Oryzias latipes: one gene and its partners. The protein of the gene in region 2 purifies or fractionates together with the protein of the main gene of each other region. This does not show direct contact. Links are inferred from orthologs where the notes say so. Each region holds a gene or a part of one and is shown on either strand. Other genes may lie near its edges.

Region 1 (4,424 bases), on a different chromosome or scaffold from region 2:
ATGTGGTAAATGTCACAGGTAATCAAACTGGTACCTGACACAGTGTGATGGTCTGCTCCATGCCTCTCTAAAGCCAGCAGGTAGCTCTTCCACAGACTCATGGTCCAGGGGCAGTTCCTAACAGCCCGCTCATGAGTGGACAGAACCAAGTCTTTAACCTTCAGCTGGCGATCCTAAAAGATCAAAAATAAAAGACAAAAATCTAAGCAACACTTTTTTTTTAATTATGTTTTCATTTTTCTTTCTTAATTGGCCAATTTACTAAAATGCTAAATAAACAGAAACAGGCAGCTGAACTAAAACAAATACATAGCAAAAATTTCATTCTTTATAGACTGAACAATAATCAATACTCACAAGATACTTGGTGCATTTAGACCACATGTCTGGAACCAAGCAGTTCTCTGCCAGAGCTCTTTCAAAGGTAATCTGGATCCGTGCTGGGTCCCCCACCTTCAATTCAAAGTCAATGTAGGCCTGATATTCAGCCAGTTTAGGAGGTTCGGCCACCAGCTGCAGCAGACGGATGCAAGAAGATGTTAACAACTAGAAAAAAGTCGCTCAAGACAGATTCAAAACCAAATGTGTGCAGGTCAGCTACCAGAGCCTCTTCAAGGGGTTTGCACTTCTCCATCTGCTGCAACGCTTTTTTGTACTGATGCGCGACGGCCTCAGGCACTCCATGCTCAGACCACTCTTCATACTCTGCATAAGTAGCTTCCATGTCTACAAAAGCACACAAGTCCAAAGGTTTACAGATTAGAACTATTTTAATCTGGTGACATCTAAAAAAGGTACACTTAAATAGCAACACTGATTCAGATTTTGAATTTTATCTGGCTGCTTACCCATTAAGGGGATGGCCAGCTGACGGCGAAACAGTGTGTGAATTCTTTCAAGCTGGGTTTTTATCAGCTCCTGTTCCTCATTCCTGGGAACTTTGCCAGGGGGAGGCTGACAGAAGATTACAAAACAAAAAAAGATGAAATTTGGCCCAATCTGTCAAACACTATAGTTGTTTGTTTAAAGATGCAGACTTTTTTATCTTTAAGTAAAGCATCTTTGAAATTTAAACCCAGATTTTGAGTCTGAAGAGACAAAAAAAAAAGTAAACACAAACCTGCAATGTGGACAGAATGGCGTTCTCAAACTCTCTGTATGCCTCCCACACTGACTGTCCTTTTGTCATGTGAAGCCCCACAGCTGTCACTGCCCTCTCAAAGATGGATCTCACCTTGTCTATCCCACCTGGTGAGCCCATACCCCCAATTGAGTACTGGGCATATTCAAGCCAAATTTCTGGACCTGTGTTAAAAAAAACAAAAGACATTAAGGCAATCTAATAACTGAACATTGGATTAAAGGAAATGACAATAACATGGTGCACTGACAGATGTAGTCTTTGATGGCTCTTTCAAACAACTCATAGACTTTTTCTCTGTTTGACTCTTCTTCTGTCAGACGAATCTCATCTTTGAGCCAGTCCAGCCAGATTTCTGCAGAATTTGAAACAAAAAAGGAGGCGTTTACATATCTGTCACAAACAATGCAGTGCTAGTATTCTGTCTGTGCTGGAACTGCGTTAGACATAACCTAACCTTCAGTAAGAGGGAAAAGTTCGCTCATCTTCTGTCTTGCTTTTCGCAGACGGATAAGTTCTCCCTCTTGTTTCAGCAGTTTGATGAGATCCACGTGGCAGTTGTAGTCGAAGGCGTTGATAGACAGCTGAGGATGAGCACAGAAAAAAATATTATTTGGTAGCAATACATTATCAAAATATAAGGCAGCTTCTATAAGCTATGTAACCTTATTATTGCATAGTACTGTAAAGAGAAAAAAATAAAGCAAGACTCCAATAGCAAGCGGTCAAAACTTTGCTGTCAAATGTTTACCAATTAATTCCTCTTTATTGTGTATTAAAAGAAAAAAAAACACATGAGCCAAGTTCTCCTTATTATAAGCAAAAGGTCAAAGGTTATAAACCCAAAGACCGTCTTGGACACAGCTAAAGACAAAGTAAACACTACAAACTGTGCAGTCTAAGTAAGCAATCTTAAGTGGGTACAGATAAAGGAATCATTTAACCCTTTCCTTAGCACAATATAAACATTATTTTCACTATATACTAAACAGGACAAATGTACAGAATACAGTGCAGGCTACCCCTCAGTTTGTTCTTTAAAAGTCAAGAAGAGTAATGATGACAATATCCCGAAAGGATAAAAAGGCGCGATAACTGCTAGCTTAACCAGTTAGCAGGAATGAGCAGGATTGCCATATAAACATCGTAAACGTTTCATGTGTGATTCGCTAACAAAAATGATATTTATTTATTTGTCAAGAAGAGTTAACTATGCTGATGAGTGAGTCGTTTTATAACTGCTTCTTGGTATAGGCTTTGCGATTCATTCATTGATATTAGCACCTCGGCTAAAGCATGACTGCTTGATGATGTCAATACCTGTTCTTCCAACCGCTGGATTTCGGCTTCATTTTCTTTTTCGTCTTCCGAAGAATCGTCCTCTTCTTCGTCTGAGTTTTCGACACGCATGCCCTCTTCGTCCTCCTCTTCGTCTGAATCCATCTCCCTCTCTTCCACCTTTGCTCCGTCCTCCTCCATATCTTGCAACTGCGTTTGTTCTGCGTTAGCTGGCGCTGCCATGTTGGAAATACTGTCTGCCTGGCAACAGCAGCCTGAGCAGCCAATTCTTATTGAAAACCCGCCCCGTCCCAACGGTGAAAGACGTGCGCGTTCACGCTATGCTCGTGCCTCAAAATATTAGGATTACGGAGTGCGTGAGTGGACAAACTAACTTAAGAAACAATTTACAGTTGCGGTCATTGGGAGCAATTGGAACGGGGATAACTACAAAAATATGAGCGGGACAAAAGTGTGTCTCCATGCCAGTGACACTGACGGTGACTGGTTCAATAAAACACTGAGCCACATAAAAAAAGAAGCAAGTTTGGCAATTACCACTTCAACCGCTAGATGGAGCTTTTTCGACATGTTAACACGAAGTCCACCATGTTTATCAGCAAACAGCGTTCGGCACCTCTCGTGTTCACTCGGCATTCATCGTTCACAATCGGCAATGTGAACATGGCGATGATCAGTGTACGAAACTGTGCGTCCTTGCCTTCCTTGTTTTGCAGCAGGCTATTTAGACCGGAGTTAAAGTCACTTTGCTCATACCACAAAAAGGTAAAACATTGAATGCACAAATACACGGCTTTTATTTTAAACAAAGTTGCCAGTTTTGCGAAAACGGTAGTTGGTGTGGCTGAACTGAACAAGCTAATGCATGCGACATGCTATTTGTGTCTCTGTAACCTACCCCGTATTATATATATTTTTAATTTTTTTCGAAGGTGGTTGACCATTATGAAAACCCGAGAAACGTGGGATCTTTGGACAAAAACTCCAAAAGTGTGGGGACAGGTTTGGTAGGTGCACCAGCCTGTGGTGACGTAATGAAACTCCAGGTAAGCTTGAATTTGGCCAAACACGTTATATTTCAGATTTTTATACATTATTAATTTACTTTAATATTGATCCTAGATTCAAGTTGATGAAAATGGAAAAATAGTGGATGCAAAGTTTAAAACATTCGGCTGTGGGTCGGCTATAGCCTCCAGCTCCCTAGCAACAGAGTGGGTGAAGGGGAAGTCGGTGAGTTACGAAAAAAGGCTCCGAAAAGTTTGTTTGTTTTATCTAAGGATCATAATAACATACTTTTTAAAATCCTGTAGCTGGATGAAGCTATGAAGATTAAAAATTCAGACATTGCCAAAGAACTGTGCCTCCCTCCAGTCAAGCTTCATTGTTCCAGTAAGTTTGATTTTCCTATTCGAGCTGCCTGCCTTGTAGATGATACATTTAATGGTAGAATACACACAATTGCTGCATTGAAATCACATTACACAAAGTGTGACACAACTGATTGCCTGTTTTAGGATTTATTTGTATTAAAATTATTTTTTTGTGTGGACACTTGTTTTTGGACAACACAAAGGAGGAGAAAAAAGTACAACTTCCTGAGTTCTCCAAATCCACTAAATTAATTTCATATTTAACCCCATTTCAGCAAAACTGCATGTTACATTGTAAATAGATCTTTTATATGAGTGTTATTCGTTATTTACTCTTAGTGTTACAAAATAAATAGAGAAACAATCATCAAAATCGGAATTCCTGCTGTTATTGCATTAAATTTGTGCCGTGTCCTTTCACTTTTTCCTTTTCAGTGCTTGCAGAAGATGCCATAAAAGCAGCGCTCTCAGACTACAAAATCAAACAGGACAAGAAAGAGGAACACGCCAAAGCCAGCAGTTAATTCTTTTCCACGTTCATCCTGGTGAAAGAGATATCCTTGATCTGAAGAAAAAAATCCTTCACAGAAATATCGAGAGCATCACACCCT
Region 2 (4,409 bases):
GGTAAAAGCAACTTGTATATGAGATACAGTTGCAGTGCTCAACATTGTGATCATTAAATGGAATTTGACCATTTTTTTACAATGAAAGACATATTGAAATTAAGTCAGATATTTTTCTAAGTCATTTTCTTTTTAAAAAAGAAAGAAAATGTGCTCCGGTACTATATAAGGATACGCATCGTATCGTCAGACTCTTGCCAATACACACCTCTAGTGCTTAGGCTGTCTCTGCAGATGAAGTAGTAACATTGGTATTGCCCTTATATAATTTTTTTGGATTTTTGTGTTGTCCACACATAGGAATAAAGTGTGTTTCTTTAGAAAATAAAAGGACAAAAAAGAGAAAGCTTACATCATTATGTAAGGTTTCCTTGATTGTGTTGTGTCAGAATATGCTAGGCTAGCTCTCCATTAGTGGTTAACATTTCAAACAAATTTCAAATATTCCCCAAACACAGATTTTGTGTACCTAAAGATGAAATCTCACAGCAGATGGTATAAGTTAGTGAAAGAATTTACATTTTTAAAGGTAAAGTGAAATTATTTACTGCAGTTTTAGAAATGCCATTTACAGATGTATCCAAAGTCTTTTTTTTAATATATTTTCCATATGCAAAAGAAAAAACTCAGATAAACTGGGAAGGTGATAGTTTTACCTTTTAAGACCCGAGCTAATATTTGAGATAACCCTCTACACATAGTCACAGGGCCCCAGTTAAGCAAAATTAACAACTGTGGTAATATGTGATGTTCGCACATGTGGACATCAGGTCTTAAGAGGTTAAAGATATTTTAGCCAGCCCATTCTATTCGTTTGCCTCCTAAACAATCTGCATCTGATCGTTTTTGTGTCACACCTATAGATCATCCTGCTTCGTACTGCCTTAAACCTTTAAAAATTTGTGTCATTACTGTCCATTTGGTTAAACCAATATAAATCAATCATGCACTTAAAATTGTTAAGATTCATTTCTATCACTTTGAAACGTTCCTATTAGCAAAATTGTCAACTTTTTTCTAATACTCCCCAAATAGTTTTTTGTTGGTTTAAGACATGGGTAGGCAACCTGCGGCTCCGGAGCCGCTTTCATCCCTGTGCTGCGACTGTCTGTATTTTTGTAAAATACCTATCATGTTCTAAGATTGTTGTAGAGCCTTTAACACCGTCGGGTAGCGCGAGCGGTCAGGAGGAAGAGCGCAGCGTGAGCACGCGGAGGGGGCGTGTCTGCACATGTGAATACTGACCAGAGTCTGGTATGGGATGGAAAGTTCTTCTATAAAGACAGTCAGCGGTAATCTCGTAGGGGCACAAGATCAAGGTTGTGTAAAATGGACAAAAGATCAAAGGAAACATAAGGCTCATAAATAATTAAAATAAATAATTAAATAAATATCCTGACAGCATTTTGAATCAATACAAGTATTGTCAAATGAACTATTGCGACATTTCAAAAGCAAAACGCTTTATTTCTAACACCCCTTGTGTTGCGGTTCCCTGTGCTTTCATTTCTGTGGGAAACGGCTCCAAATGACTCTTTGAGTGGTAAAGGTTGCCGACCCCTGGTTTAAGACATGCATTAAATCTATTTGATTAGGCTACTTTTACCTAATCATTTCTGCAAAGAAACAACTCCAAACCACATCTCTCTACCATAGTCACCTAAACTTGACCAATAATTCCAATTTCTTTAAATGAGTTCTTAGGCATGCCTTATGCAATGTAAATATTTTCACCATATTTGCATGTTTCAGACATACATCGCTGTATTTAAAAATAAATTAAAACTATGATGAATAGGTCAAATATCATTAACCAATGATTTTGGGTTATTTAACTGACTATGCATACCTACTATTCAGTGTAAAGTTAAAACATATAATCTAAAGGCATACCCCCTTGACTAACGTCATTATGTGCAGAAGGCTTAATCAGTATTTTTATTGTAAAAATGTAACCTCTTACCATTGTTTCCTCTCAGAAAGGCATCCCCATACTTGTTCTTGAGCTGTCCATTAACATACTCTTCTGTCTGTTCAATGGCGATGTTCATGTAACCATCCAGACAGGCCAGAACACCTGCATAAGTTATAGCAAACAGGAACAAAGTTTTGGTTAAAGTCTCATTCCTTAACAGACATTTAGAAATAACAATAAAGGAGAACCGTGCGGCTGAGCCTGGCACGCCAGGTGTTTTACCTCTGTAATCCACACCAGAGTTTAGTTTGACCACCACTGGTCTACCAATTATCTGCTTAAGGAAGTCACTCGGCGTTTGTTTTCTCATACTCATCTTGCTTGATCTGAAAAATAAAGGTTTTTGTATATTAGCCTTTTAGTTTCTTGTGCTAGCATCGCCATCGTCCTCCATGATTAGTTTTATGTTTAATAGCGTGGATTTAATACATAAAAAACGATGTTTTATTTCCGCTAAAATACCACATAAAAAGCCCAACTCTCATTTTTTCCAACCACGTGCTGAACTACAGAAATAAGCATCAATGAACAAATTAAATCACTGAGCAAGCGGGAGACGTTAGCTGCTACTGCTAGCGTAGCTAACCATCTGGCTACTGACGGGGTTAACTGTCTAATGTCTGTAGAGATAATGCCGGAGGTTCTTTAAGATTTTCTAAACAATTGTATCTGCAATGTAAATAGGCTAAACGCATGTTTGCTTTACAAGCAGAGGTAAATGGCTTGGTTTACATTCCACTCACCTGCTATTACGTCTAGCAAACGACTGTTTTCAACGACACCCGCGAACTACCCAATCATATACGTGCAGTCTATGGTAGCCGGCCGTTGTCAAAAATATCGAAATCGCATTAAGTAGCAAACGCGCTAAATTTAGAAAATCTGTTAATAATAATAATAATAATAATAATAATAATAATAATAATAATAATAATAATAATAATAATAATAATAATAATAATAATAATAATAATAATAATAATAATAATAATAGAACTGTTTACTGTTTTCAAACCATTAAACTCTTAACCGGCTTTTTTCTAAAGCAGGACACATGTCAAGACATTACATTCTAATTTAAGTCCTGTAAAATAAAATAAAAAGTTCAAAACTACTTTTTTTTATGTCAACACCGGTTGGATCAATTCACAATTTTTTATCCCAGAACTGAAGAGTTTAGCATATTACGTTTTTGCTGCATGTTGCACCAGTTGCTATTCATTGGCAAAGAGAGCAATAATTAGTAAGGGTTGTTTATAGGCAAATGTTAGGACTTAGAATAAGGCAGTCAGAGGAAGTTATTATTGAGACCTGAAATGTCAAGTCACATGCCTGTTTCAGCTGAAGAAACATTTAGTACCTTTGGACAATCTGTAAAGGCTTGAATCTGCAGAATAAACCTGTTAGACGGACAATGTTACAACCTAACTGGATGTTCTATGGCTTCAGCAATTAAACAGTGAGAAAAAAAAAACAAGTGAGCAATTGATCGAGCTCACTTATGTTTAATAAGCTGAGAAGGCCACCAGGAGAAATCCAGTTAGAGCTGGATGCATTCTTTTGCTGGGATGCTTTTAACATTTATTCACATAGTTTGGATTTAAACAAGTCCTAAACTGTGTCAGAGATACACAACTCACAAAGGGCAGAGCAAAGCATTTGATTAATCATCATTAGCTGCACTAAAATCAAGACAAATTAAAATTTGGAACAGTAGAAAACTTCATCAGCCAGCAAAACAACGCCAAGAATGAATGCCACACAGAAGACCGTGGAACAAGCAGAACATGCAAAGAACTGCAAACATTGTTGGATTCAGTTGAGGTCAAAGCGCATGATATTTTACACTTTCTGATTGTGACAATGTATTTGTGAAAACCTATCAGACAAGAAAAATAGAAATGCTAAGATTAAGTATTTGTTGTGTATAAAAGAAGTTTAAGTAGTTACAAAGTTTATACGGACAACATTTGGAGTAAGTTCAGTGATGAGGCAATCAAAACCACTACTTTATTGTTTTTGATGTTCTCACTGGAATGTCTATGAATAAAAACATCAAGGAAAGTTTAAAGTAATATCTAACACACTAAGTTTGACTGTTTTATATATGAAATATGGCGATCCGTTTTTGGACAAAGAACTTCCGCTTTTGCTAGGTCATGAAGATCAGCAATCTTGAAACTCTAAAAATCATTTCTAAAATAAAAACAAAGTGGTGGTAAGATATCAGAGCCAGTGTTTTTCTTTTTATTTAGGTTTTTTTCACAAAGTCCCTTTTTTCAGTGTAAAGTATACTATGAGTAAAAAGGTTTGTCTTTTTTTTTGTGGAGACAAATTAAGTAATCAGCTTCATGTCAAGCTAAGATTTATCTCTGGATTGTTTTATCCAAACAATGGCTTAAAACATTATTGTTTTAAAATAATACTACCAACC
Region 3 (4,232 bases), on a different chromosome or scaffold from region 2:
TGTGGATTGTACTGCGGATGCAGATCTGACGCTGAAGGATAGGCATTTGCGTAGGGCCCTGTGGAGTGGGACTGCGGATACCAGTATTGTGGAGGGTAACTTGGATACTGAGGAGCATCCTGTAAAAGGCAAGTTGACACGAGACAGCGACTCACTTTATGTGATCCAACCCATTTTGTGTAGCTATCCTAAATCTCAAATAGAGATATGGAGAACTTGATGCTGAGAAACTTAAATGATAAACGCATTGATAAACATATACTCGTGTCTTTCTAGAAAACTAAATAAATGGATGTTAACTTGTGTTTAAATGAATGAAATAATTTGAGCTAAACCAATGATTAACTCATGAAACTCTATATGATCGCTACGATCTCCTAACGTGCAGAAGTGTTGTGTTAAATCGATATTTTCGAGTCAATGTAATTTAAAAACAAGGACTTAACTAATAAGCTAGCAGTAACTATTACATAATGCCCGCTAGCTATATTAGCTATGAAGCTAGCATGATGAACATTGCGAAGAACTTCTGCACGAACGAACAAACGGATTTTATTGTTGGGAGATTTTAAATTAATCTTTGTTTCTTTAAAGCACAATATGATCTGTCACCCCCTCCCCCCAGTAAAGTTTTTTTTAATTAATCTGCTCGCTTACCATAGTGTTACTGCAGCTTCCGTGACTATTTCCCGAGTTAGTAGAGGGCCAGCCAGTTTTCCCGTTTGGCTGCATTTGGGGTTTCTGCATCAGTTACACGTATTTTGCCATCTTCCAAAATAAGCAAGACTATCACTAGTTTACGGTTCCGCTAGAAATCTGACAGCTGATCAAAGCAGCAGCTTCCCCGCAGAAGTCAGGATCGCCTGATTGCAACCAAGAAATGAATAAATGACGCGGAACTCTGGAGACATGGTACTGCGTCTTTAAGTCGAGTAGAACCATTACAAGTAAAGAGGAGTCACTCTCTAAAACTTTCTGATCGAAATTGCTGGATGAAACCTTACAATTGCAAAACGCAGAAACGGGGAACACAATTAGAATATTTTTAATTAAAGATATTTATTTTCAATATATTTTACTGCTAAGACCAACTATTGAATTACTCCTGTAGCAGTTGTATTTTTTAAACATGTGACGCAACTTTTCAAAATTTTCATTTACGATCTTTGATGTGGCACATGCGTTGGAAGGGTTACCATCCATCATCAAATGGGGACATTTAATCCAAACATGTTTTATAGAAAATTCTTTTTGTATCATAAAATGTATGATACTTTTGTTTAAATCATTTTTACACAGTTATTTTTAGAAAATTCGAGCTATGCGCAATTACGGTGCGGAAGGGGTTAAATGTTTACAGGAAGTGTATAAAAGCACTTCCTGTGCACCGTCAAATAGAAACGGGTAAAAACATTCATGGCTTGATGGTTCAGAAATCAACTAAACGCGTGAAAACTGCAACTAAACATGAATTACGTACCAGGGACGGCCAGTCTCATTGACGATATTGACAGTAAGTTGGGCCTTATAGAAATTGCTTTTTTTAATCATAAACAAACGACACAATGTATTAGCGTGTGCCGTGTGGACGCAGATTTTTTTTAAATGTTTTTAATTTCGCAGAAAAGCACTTGGTCCTGCTGCGAGATGGCAGAACACTAATCGGTTACCTGAGAAGCATCGATCAGTTTGGTAATAAAAAATGAGAATCTTCTAAACTCTTCCATGCGGGTTTATTTTTTTATTTTTATATGATTACGCGGTGTTTCAATAGTCCTAAATTTGTTTGTTTCTTTCTTTTTTTTTTTTTTTTGTTCCACAGCCAATTTAGTCTTTCATCAGACGGTGGAGCGTATCCACGTGGGAAAGAAATTTGGAGATATTCCCAGAGGTATCTTCATCGTCAGGGGAGAAAATGTAGTCCTGCTTGGGGAAATAGTAAGTGTTTTAGAGCAATTTTTTAGTTTGTTCTAAACTTGAATGTAATTTCTGGATCAAGTTTTATTTACGTGAACTTGTTCTCAGATGCTCCGTACAGCACCAAACATCAAACTCTGAATGTGGTCAAGCATCCAGGTCTCGCACTGCAGAAAATGATGTGACTCTTATTTAAAGATCAAGTTAAATTTATATGCAAGTAAATTGTTACTTTATATAGTTACTACAGTTATAAACTTTTTTTTTTGAAAAGTTGCTGCCTAAATGAATACTTGCTTAAAAAGGAAATTGCGCACACATTGACTGTAAAGGTACCTCCATGTTAAGGTTACTTAGCAAAAACAAAAAAGGCTTAATTTTACAACTTTTTCAAATTTGCTGTTTGGTCTAGCCAGATTTTTTATTTTTCTCTCCTGGTTTTCAATATGATATAAAAGAAAAGCGGGTGGGAAAAGTGGTGAGGATTGTCAATCTTTGCTCTTTCCATATAAATACAATGCATACTTCTTCTTACTTTTTTTTTTCTTAATTATAATTTAGATTACCAATGATTACACAAATGATTGCAGGATTGCTGCTAGTTTACCTCACAACCCCAACCTAACATGATGGTGGTAGAAATGAATACGGCAACAATATTAGAGCTATCCAGCCATAGTTTGGAGCCAGATCTCAGCTCCGATGAGGGAAACAAAGAGGCACATGCATCGTTTTGTCTACAATGGATGCATCAGAATAGAGTGGTGCAGGGAGCTTGTGGCTTACCATTCGAACTTGTGTCACACAAGTTTTTCGTGGGTCCTTGAACCACGGAGTTTAAGCATCTTTTTGGGCAAAACTATGAGCAGGCCATAGCATTGAGTACTAGCAACTTTTGTTAGTGTCATGGAATGATGCACAGAGCCTAAAAGAACTTGATGACATTTTCGGATCATAAGATTTGACCTCACTCTCCTGTGTCCTGTGCAGGATTTGGATAAGCCCTGCGACACAGTCTTGCAGCAGGTTTCAATTGAGGAGATCCTGGAGGAGCAGCGGTTGCAGCAGCAGGCCAAACAGGAAACGGAGAAAGTCAAAATGCAAGCTCTGAAGGACAGAGGCCTTTCCATACCCAAAGCTGATAATTTGGACGAGTATTGAACCCTTTACAAGCCTTTTAGTTTGTATAAGACAAATGGATTTTATGTTTAACTGAAGGGTGTCTTTTGTTTTGTGGCTAGAATCATGTAAGGCACAATACTGCATTGTTTTGTTTTGCTTTTTTTTCTTTTCTTAATAGTTTCATTTAAATTGTATGGGGATGTAAGAACTGTTTAAGCAAATGGTTACAACTTGACGGCCTTTTTACAGCAGCACTTTGTCATCAATCATCATAATGACGTGAACTTTTTATTTGGAGATGGTGGGTCTGCTAGTGACTAACACTCCTGTTCTCCATTAAAACAATTGAGTTTCACTTACTAAAGCCTGCTTGAAAAATCTTTTGTCTTTGAAGGTTTAATCTGCAAGTACACAGAAAGCGGTGCGTTTAGTCATTTAAGTATTTATTGGTGACTTGACTGGCTTCCTATTGGCTAATCAAAACGTTAATTCTGTTATAGGGATGATCTTTCAGATACTGATCAATTTCCCTCATTAGCTGCTAGAATAAAGTGACGTGTAAGAGAAGCTATGCGTTTTACAGTCATCTTTATATGTACCCCGTATACTTTTTTATTTTTTTTTATTTATTTTTTTCTTAACCTATAGCAGGGTTCTGCAACCTTCAGCACATAAAGAGCCATTTGGGTTGATGTCTCAATGACCACGCCCCAGTAGGAGTCAAAGTCTTTATTTTTTTATTTTTTTAAGACTAATTTGTCTTGGATACTAATATGATAAATATAGATGAACTGTTATTTGGCATAAATAAAAAAATATAAAGAGAAAATAGCTTTTTTTTTAAAATACCGGTAGTTTAAACTTTTGATGGAGGTTCATGTGACTTCCTCTCAATAAGTGTCCTGTTTCACATGGGATCCTCTCAATCCAGCAAATGTAGAAGTGTAATGTCAGCAGTGATTAAAAATAGATATTTTAGCATTTGAGGTGCATAACAGCCAACATTTGTAAATCAAATCAACAAAAAAAAATTAGAGCTAAGTGACCCTTGCCATATTTATTAGAACCATAAGGTGAACTTAAAAATCCTTCAATTTGTTAAATAGAAAACTCACCATCCATTACTCCTTTAGTAGGAATTCTGGCTGTGCTGACGGCTCTACAATTGAATTTCTGTGGTAAATGGCATTTTA

Evidence for each region.
Region 1: the proteins of lsm6 (region 2) and sart3 purify together in Homo sapiens (affinity purification with mass spectrometry; 4 studies listed by BioGRID and IntAct, counting the BioPlex papers as one, with this or other methods). This does not show direct contact. The link is inferred for Oryzias latipes from reciprocal best matches to the Homo sapiens genes LSM6 and SART3.
Region 3: the proteins of lsm6 (region 2) and lsm1 purify together in Homo sapiens (co-immunoprecipitation; 3 studies listed by BioGRID and IntAct, counting the BioPlex papers as one, with this or other methods). This does not show direct contact. The link is inferred for Oryzias latipes from reciprocal best matches to the Homo sapiens genes LSM6 and LSM1.

What each region holds. Positions count from the first base shown.
Region 1 is NC_019867.2:12,885,833-12,890,256, forward strand, and holds the start of sart3 (squamous cell carcinoma antigen recognized by T-cells 3), read right to left. Parts: upstream 2,902-4,424; 5' UTR 2,663-2,901; coding exon 2,462-2,662; intron 1,726-2,461; coding exon 1,599-1,725; intron 1,497-1,598; coding exon 1,392-1,496; intron 1,306-1,391; coding exon 1,121-1,305; intron 955-1,120; coding exon 849-954; intron 727-848; coding exon 602-726; intron 514-601; coding exon 358-513; intron 174-357; coding exon 35-173; intron 1-34. Other genes in the region: iscu (iron-sulfur cluster assembly enzyme ISCU, mitochondrial), read left to right, coding at 3,104-3,205, 3,373-3,486, 3,563-3,673, 3,754-3,832, 4,249-4,337. UniProt on the Homo sapiens protein: U6 snRNP-binding protein that functions as a recycling factor of the splicing machinery. Promotes the initial reassembly of U4 and U6 snRNPs following their ejection from the spliceosome during its maturation.
Region 2 is NC_019859.2:18,488,995-18,493,403, reverse strand, and holds the start of lsm6 (U6 snRNA-associated Sm-like protein LSm6), read right to left. Parts: upstream 2,807-4,409; 5' UTR 2,719-2,806; intron 2,302-2,718; 5' UTR 2,292-2,301; coding exon 2,198-2,291; intron 2,078-2,197; coding exon 1,964-2,077; intron 1-1,963. UniProt on the Homo sapiens protein: Plays a role in pre-mRNA splicing as component of the U4/U6-U5 tri-snRNP complex that is involved in spliceosome assembly, and as component of the precatalytic spliceosome (spliceosome B complex).
Region 3 is NC_019867.2:18,635,608-18,639,839, forward strand, and holds lsm1 (U6 snRNA-associated Sm-like protein LSm1), read left to right. Parts: upstream 1-1,377; 5' UTR 1,378-1,467; coding exon 1,468-1,513; intron 1,514-1,623; coding exon 1,624-1,692; intron 1,693-1,822; coding exon 1,823-1,938; intron 1,939-2,907; coding exon 2,908-3,078; 3' UTR 3,079-3,606; downstream 3,607-4,232. Other genes in the region: bag4 (BAG family molecular chaperone regulator 4), read right to left, coding at 1-119, 658-747. UniProt on the Homo sapiens protein: Plays a role in the degradation of histone mRNAs, the only eukaryotic mRNAs that are not polyadenylated. Probably also part of an LSm subunits-containing complex involved in the general process of mRNA degradation.